Linked DNA regions of Canis lupus familiaris. The protein of the gene in region 2 purifies or fractionates together with the protein of the main gene of each other region. This does not show direct contact. Links are inferred from orthologs where the notes say so. Each region holds a gene or a part of one and is shown on either strand. Other genes may lie near its edges.

Evidence for each region.
Region 1: the proteins of WRAP73 (region 2) and SSX2IP purify together in Homo sapiens (co-immunoprecipitation; 4 studies listed by BioGRID and IntAct, counting the BioPlex papers as one, with this or other methods). This does not show direct contact. The link is inferred for Canis lupus familiaris from reciprocal best matches to the Homo sapiens genes WRAP73 and SSX2IP.

Annotation. Positions count from the first base shown.
Region 1 is NC_049227.1:63,688,369-63,692,545, forward strand, and holds the start of SSX2IP (afadin- and alpha-actinin-binding protein), read left to right. Parts: upstream 1-1,324; 5' UTR 1,325-1,413; intron 1,414-4,177. UniProt on the Homo sapiens protein: Belongs to an adhesion system, which plays a role in the organization of homotypic, interneuronal and heterotypic cell-cell adherens junctions (AJs).
Region 2 is NC_049226.1:58,647,679-58,651,857, reverse strand, and holds the start of WRAP73 (WD repeat-containing protein WRAP73), read left to right. Parts: upstream 1-1,343; 5' UTR 1,344-1,432; coding exon 1,433-1,501; intron 1,502-4,179.

The DNA.
Region 1 (4,177 bases), on a different chromosome or scaffold from region 2:
CATGGATAAACTCCAGGGCAATTTTATAGCATCCAGACTTCTCACATCTAGGAGACAGGAATTGACCTCTGTACCCAGGCTCTTCCTGTGTTTCCTCTTCTCTTCTGGGGAGGGATGAAGGAGCTCTTTATAAAAAGTATATTCTCTTGTGCATATACTCTTGTCACAGCTGAAAAGGATGGAAAGAAGTTGGCATGATTATTCCCATTTTGTAGGTGAGGACTCTGAGGCTCCAAGAGGACTACTAACTTATCTGCTCAGGATCATGCAGATTTGCGGGGGGGGTGGGGGGGGTCTGACTCTGCAAAATGCAAAGCTACTGATTCCAAATTGCTGTTCTTTCCACCAAACTGAACTGTGTTCATGTCGTTCTGCTGGATGAACTACTCACCGAGATGGCTATCCATTTATAATCACTTCGGATCCCAGGGCTACCATAACGGAGCTCATGAAGCAGCCTTACAAATGTGAGTCTCACATGCCAGGTTGTTGAAAGAACTGTGCAGCTTTTTGGCACCCCCACCAAGCCCTGAAGTAAGGGTAACCTGAGTGGTATCCACCGTCGTCCTAGTGGCAACCACATCTATCTTGTAAAGAGAAGTAGCAAAGACTCAGGAGGCCACTCAAAAAACAACTTTGGTTGGACCTGTATTTCCAAGTAAGAGAGAAAATAATCATACAAGAAAGCAGTTTACATGATGAGCAAAGCATCTTCCAGGCAACACATAGCCTCAAAAGTGTTCTTTCCTCCACACTAAGCCCCGAGGGTCTGAGAGTGCTCCCCAACGCAGCAGCATGGGGCATTATATCTTAAGAGGTTAGGGACGCGTTTGGACTGAGACTAGACCCAAGCTCAAGCCTCAGCTCTGCCATGTCCTAAGTATTTGAGCTGAGGCAAAATAGCTCATCCTTCAGCCTCTGTTTCATCATCTATAAAATGGGAGAATAATTGTACCTGTGGCAAAGGACTGTCGTGACAGTTAGATGCGCCGATGCATACAGGCAGCACGCTAGGTATGCAAAGTGCTTGCTTACAGACATAGTAAGCGATTCATAAAATCAGTTTTTAGTGCTCTTTGCCAGAGTCTTCCTTCTACTGAGCTCCTGCTGTTCCCCCTGAAATGCTCTCTATTAGGGACTCTGTTCAGAGGGCAGCTCATCAGCAGACCTTCCCTGGCCACCGCACTCAGAGCAGCTCGTATCCTCCCTCCTTGCTTTAGGCTTTCCATGGCACAGATCACTCCCACATGCCATATCATATATTCGTATGTTTACTTGTTTATTGTCTGTTTCCATTAGAACGCCAGCCCCATGATGATGGCACCTGTATTGGGTTCACTCCTGAAGTCTCAGTGCCTAGAGCAGGGTCTGCCGTGTGGAGGGGACCAAGACCTATGTACGTGATGAAGGCAGGTGAGTAGAACACATCTCTTCTGAATAGATTGTGATTCCATACTGTGGTGCAACCTAAAACCAGATGCAGGAGCAGTTGTATATCTGGGACAAGCCTCCTGCAGAGTGCCTGAGAAGGCCTGAGCCACTGAGGTGCTGAGCTGTGCTCTAGTGAGCCCTGCAGCCCTGGAGTGTAAAGCAATCACCGTGCCAGGCTGCAGGGGATCGGAACCGGCTCAGCCATTTTCTTTGCTCCGAAAGTTATAGCCTGAAGTGACTGCCAGGGGAGCTCCCTTCCCTGGTATGCTTCTCTTCCTCTTCTTCCTCCTCCTCCTCCTCCTCCTCCTCCTCCTCCTCCTCCTCCTCCTCCTCCATGCCCTCCCTGGGGATTCATGACTGGGAGTGCAACTTCCTCAGGGACAAAAAAGCATGTCTTAAAAGTAACCTGTGGCAATGGATAGTTCACTGCTTTTAAACTCACAAATTATTTTTTCACTGCAGTACACAGCTCAGATCATGATTTTCACTAAGTAAAAGCAAAAATGGGTTTTGCTCTTGGCTCTCCCTGGTTGCCGCTGAGGTGCAGCCACCTGTTTTCCTGATGCTAGGGCCCCAGGGATGGCACCTAGTGGGGAGAGGTAAGGGGGCCACGTGGACAAAGAGCTGCCTCCTTAATGCTGCTGCCGCCTGGGGAAGGCTGGAGTAATGAGGGTCAGTGGGCATTAAACATTCCGGCATTGCCTCTCCAAGGTTTCACGTTTCCCATGAAGGTCCAGGTAGAGAGTGCATTGGACGTGATAAGGCACCTCAGAACTACTAGTGGAGATTGATTTTTTGAGACTCCTCAAAAGGGCATGGAGTTTTTCCTAAAGTTCAAGGCACTTTCAGAGATTGTTGATAAGCAGATGTGTGCTTCCCAAAGCCTGCATAGAGCAGAGGCATCAAGCTAGAGGAAAGAATTAGATAAAATAACAAGTAGCAAAAAGGAGAGCATGCTTCATGAACTCTAGCTTGATCTTACTAGCAGATTCTAGAAGTTGCCTTTGGTCCTTATCTGTGAATTGTTGTCTATGACGTAGACACTGTTTTTCCGTGTTAATATATATGCTAATGTAACTATATACAATAACTCCTGGATAGGGCACGTAAATGAATGCAGTCATTAAGAACTATATTACCTCGGGCACCTGGGTGATGTAGTTGTTAAGGGTCCCACTTTTCATTTCGGCTCAGGTTGTGATCTTAGGGTTGTGGGATCAAGCCCTCTGTTGGGTTCCATACTCAGCGTGGAGTCTGCTTGAGACTCTCTCTTCCTCTGCCTCTGTCCTCCCCACTGTTCTCTCTCTTTCTCTAAAATAAATAAATAAATCTTTTTTTTTTTTTTTTAATGAACTAGATTACCCCAAATCATGCATTTGGGTGCAGGTAAAACCCAAATTATCATGATGATGTAAGGTAGGCCCAGAAATGTGCAGTACAAGTGTTTTTCCTTAGCCATTTCATGGAAAATCACAAGTCTGTGGCCCACGGGACAAATCTAGCTGGATGTCCTGGGTGATGTTCAGGTCTCTGGCTGTGGATGGGCTGCTGCTTCTTTTTCTTCTATTGATTTATTGTAGCCCCTAACTTGGAGTGTTTCTTAAATAAACATAGCTTTTATTGAAGAAAACATCTATCTGGGATTTCCTGGGCAATTGTGCCAGAAGAGTGGGCTTTTTCTGGATGACTATACTCTCTTATGTATGGACAAATACAGCTATGGACAAGTATAGCTCCCACCATGGAAAATTAGGATACTGGAACTATTGTCCTAAGCCCTGGAGCTTGAAGAGCCCGATTCATGCCTCAGATGCTGGTCCTCACTAGACTGGGTAGGCAGACATCTGTGACCACCAGGACTGAAGCCTAGCAAGCAGATGGAAGAGTGTATGGAAGATCTACACATTATGACTTTCATTCCCAAACAACTGCTGGTGGGGGGAAGCTTTTCTTCCCACAGAGGAAATAGCAGCTCCTACTTTGTGCCCCCACTGAATCCAATTGTTACTTCTGACATGTCACCTGCAACATATTATACTGATTTCCACCACCCCTGCCACCTATACTGCCCTCCATCTAATGTCTTCTTGAGGACCCAAGGGTTCCCTGAGCCTGGCACAGTGCCTGGAACATAGTGCTCAATAAAAGGTGGTTCACTTATTTGACTGAGGACCCTTCTCCCTGAAGGAGGCAGGGAGTATTTATATGCACAGGGATAGCCCCTGCCTTACAGTAAAATACAGACAAATGCATGATGGAAGGCCAGGTGTGTAAAGAACTCTGACATGGTAGCTTAGATCCAGAATCCTTACAGAAATCTCTTTATCCAACCCCAAGGGTCAGGATGGCTCAAGTAGCTGGGATTCAGTTGAGCCAGAATGATGGAGTGTTTGTTCCTCTTCTGCATGGTCCTCCATAGAATCCTTGGAGACAGAAACTTAGTTCTGCGTCTCAGCCCATTGATAGCAAGTTCACCTTTGACAGTGATTTAAAATCCCTCAAGACTCAGATTATGTCCAGCTGCTAACCCTGTGGCAATGCTCCTGGTGTGGAAAGAAGTGCACCCAGTGTTGCAGGTTCGTGGCTTCCTGGGGCTTCCTTGATTAAGGAATGTATGCTAATGGTGGCAAAGAAAGGAATAGTCTTGCAGAAGAAAGACAGAGTGCCTTGGAGCCTGAGTAGCAACCAAGTTTCTTTTATTATGGGACTTCTTGTCCGGTCAGCTTCAGGACCTGTGAAGGCTGTT
Region 2 (4,179 bases):
CCACACGTGGGTCGTGCCCTGGGAGCGCGTCTAGGCGGGTGTTCCCGGACCCGCGCGGGGCGGGGCCTCGGCCTGAGAACCCGACGCGCCCGACGCGTAACGAGAGGCCCTCGGCGGCCCCCGCGGCGCGCTGCCTTCCGGTGCTCGCGGGACCCGTTATCCGCCTCCGGACCGCCGTCCCCGGGCCCGCGTGACCCTGCGTCAGTGTCGCCGGTGAAGTGAGCGCGAACCGGGCTGGTGCAGACCGGCTTCTGGCCGCCAAGGTCCGCATCTCACCTGGCGCACTTGGCTCACTTGTACACACCTGTACTGCTCACCTCCTGGTTTCGAGGGGCAGGGGGTAGGACCCGAGGGCGAATCGCATGCGCGGGTCCGTTTGGCCCAGTGCGGAGAAGGCCGGCACCGCCTACCTGGACGCGGGCGCGCACTTCCTACCCCTTTGTTCCAGAAGTTGGGGGGCGTCCTTGGGGAGTGGACCCGGGACCGTGCGCACGGAGGTGTGCGGGGGAGCCAGGCTGGGTCTGCGTTCTCAGACGGAGGATCGAGCGCAGCTGTCTGGGTCCGCGAGACCCGGTAGGCTGCGTACGCGCTGGCAGGGCCTGGCCGGGACCTGGGGGAAGTCTTGTTCGGGGAAAGAGGACTAGGGGTTCCCAGAAGGCGAGGGGGCACGGCACTCGCTGGGAGCGAGCGCGAAGTGCGCGATGCTGATGCAGGTGCCCGCCGCCCCGTGCCGAGGACCCCGGTCTAGGTCGGGCTCCCGCGCGGTGCCTCTCCTCTACGCGGGTCCAAATGCAGAGGGCGCGCGTGCGAGGAACCGGAGGGAGCGCGACGCCCGCCTGCGGAGTCAGCGCCCCATTGGCTCCCCCAGACCTAGGTGGTACCCAGGGGAGGCGGGGTAGGGTTGCCCGATGCAGCTGAAACATCTAGGGAAAACGAATGCGCATTTACACAGGTGCATATGCACTATTACATATATGGAGAAACACGTTTATATGTAAATATATTTACATCTAAGTGTTTATATATAGGTACACGTGTAAGAGTAAATACACACGGGACACCCATTTACATTTGAATTTCAGATAATTGGGTACTTTTTTTAGTATAGATTTGTCCCATGAAGTTTTAGAAACATTTGTCCACAAAAATGGTTCGTTGAAAAAAAAAAAAATGGTTCGTTGTTCGTCTGAAATTCAATTTGAGCGCGCGCCCAGCGTTTTTCTGGCAACCCTGGCGGGAATGGACAGCGAGTCAGGAAGGAGGGCGGTGGGGCGGGGCCGCCTGAACTACAAGCCCCACAATGCCGCGCGGGCACCCGGGGCCCTGATAGGCTGCGCCATGCTTCCGCTCTCCGTCACTTCCGGCCGCGGAGGTAGCGGTTGCGGCCGTCCCAGCTGCACAGAAGCGCGCGGCCCCGGGGTCTGCGGTCGCCATGAACTTCTCCGAGGTGTTCAAGCTCTCCAACCTGCTCTGCAAGTTCTCCCCGGATGGCAAATACCTGGTGAGCGGCGTCGGGCCGAGGAGGGGCAGCTCGGGGGGCCGCGGGTACTGGCCTCAACGAGTGGTCCCTGGCGGATGCCTGCAACCGGGGCCCGGGGCAGGGAGGGGGACTGGGGTGGGGACCCGGGGTGGACACCGGGGAGGGGGACCCGGGTGGACACTGGGGCCGGGGGCCGGGGTGGGGACCCGGGAGGGGGACTGGGGTGGGGATCCGGGGTGGACACCGGGGAGGGGGACCCGGGTGGACACTGGGGCAGGGGGCCGGGGTGGGTACCCGGGGCAGGGGGCGGAGGTGGGTACCCAGGGTGGACACCGGGGCAGGGGGCTGGGGTGGGTACCCGGGAGGGGGCCGGGGTGGACATCGGGGCGGGGGGGGGGCCGGGGGGGGTGCCCAGAGCAGGGGGCAGGGAGACGGAGTGGATACCCGGGGAGAGGGACTGGGGTGGATATCCGGAGCCTGGGTGGATACGCGGGGCAGGGGACTCAGGCAGTCCTGCTCTAAGTCCTGCTCTAAGCAGGGGCCCCCAGGAACTGGACTTGGGCAGGTGTGAGCCTCCCTGCACCTCAGTTTCCATCTGTCAGAGGCAGATAATGGCAATGCTGTCTCCACACATTTGAGGATACGGAGCATATCAGCTCACTGTTGTTATTTTGACGCATAAAGGCAAATATATAATTCCGTTGACTGGACCCTGGTACAGTAGTGCAGCTGCGTTGTCTTTCCCAGGCTTCTTCCCCGGTCTCTACCGTGTGCCAAATAAGTGGTTGAAATAATAGTGTTCTATGTCCAGATAAATGGAGTTGTCTGCATTGCTTTTATTTGAGCTGTTAGGATTTGAGCTGTTCATTACCGGGCGAGAGAATGGTGCTGAAGTCACCGAGCTCCTCTGGACAGGAAATGGAAGTTTTGAAATGTACCAATATCATCAGTGTATATGCTTAGAACCTTGGGTGGGGGAGGCGGTAGGGGGGATAATTGACATGGGAAATCCATTAAGAAAAAAATGATGCCTTACAAAAGGGCATTTGGTTCTCTATATGAACTTATTGATGCCTTATGATTCGTTTTCAGATTGAGGCTTATTAACATTCCTGTTATTTGTCTAGCTCTTTGAGAATATAACTCCTTTATGGAGGCATTATTCTAAATCATGTAAATTAGCATTCAGCTTAAAAATACATAATGTCTTCTGCTTAAAGTTCACCCCAGAAACCTTGGTGTATTTTTCAAAGTGCTCCCCATATATTGGTTTTATAAAAATCCCAGTAAATTACAGAAAGAGACTATATATTAACTTTCTTTTTGTTGCTCTTTGGGCTTCTACACTCTAGTGAAAATATAGCAAGAAGCTTGATAATAATGTTACTGGAATCCTGTTCTTCAAAGCTCTCCTAAATCCTGAAGAAAGTAGGTCTGTGTTGCTATTTTTAATATCTTGCAACAGATTTTTTTTGAAGATTTTATTTATTTATTCATGAGAGACACAGAGAGAGGCAGAGACACAGGCAGAGGGAGAAGCAGGCTCCATGCAGGGAGCCCAACGCGGGACTTGGTCCTGGGTCTCCAGGATCAGGCCCTGGGCTGAAGGCGGCGCTAAACTGCAGAGCCACCCGGGCTGCCCCCTTGCAACAGATTTGATGTGTTTTTACAGAAGTTCCATTTCATAAGGAGTTCATTGTAACTGATTGCAAAGCTACAGTATGACCCATGCTTGTTCTAATCTGCAGTTGCCCTCCCCTTTCCTTTTTTTTTAAAAGAGATTTTATTTGAGAGGGAGAGCACAAGCAGGGTGAGGGGCAGAGGAAGAGGGAGAAGCAGGCTCCCTGCTGATCATGACCAGGACCCTGGGATCATGACCTGACCTAAGCCGAAGACAGATGCTTCACCGACTGAGTCCCCCAGGCACCCCTCCCCTCTCCTTTGGACAAGGACAACTCATGAAGCCTTTGTAAGACGTCTATTCATAGACCACAAACCAATAATCTGGTTTGATCTTGATAAGGACCAGAAGGAAGCCGTTACCGTTTAAAAATCAGTTAAACTGTGGTATAATCTATAGTCAGCAGATGAGTAAACTCAAATTGTTTGCTTAGATGTGGGTATTATTAACAAGTATGACCATAAACTGTCTTCAAGAAAACAGTGTTGACTCTTGAACATTTTGCTAGTCAGTATCCAGAGTAAGGCAGTGCGGCTGTGAGGAAAGCATCTCTGCTTCTCCCTCCTATGCCAGGAAAGTGTGGTCCTCACCCCATACGTCTCCTTTGCTGTCACACTGCTGCTACACTCACTGCACTGCTGACACTCGCGGTCACGTTTGCCAGAAGCGGGGTGTTCCACAGCCCTTGAACCTCCAGGATACTAGTGGGGTGTCCATTCTGGCACTGTGTGCCTTGAGCCCCACAGGTGGACTGTGCCCACCCCACCTCACATGCCAGCCACAGTAGCAAGCCTTCAGGTTACACACAACTTCTGTCTCACTGGACTGCGAGTCCCACATTCCCACAGCACTCTCGGGTTTGATGACTCTTCCAGAGTGGCTCACAGAGCTCAGGGAAACAGTCGCTTGTGTTTGTGAGTGTGCTAAAGCATATGATAAAAGAGACAAGTGACCAGCCAGATGAAGAGATACGTAGGACAAGGTCTGGGAGGGTCCCGAGTGCAGGAGCCTCTGTCCC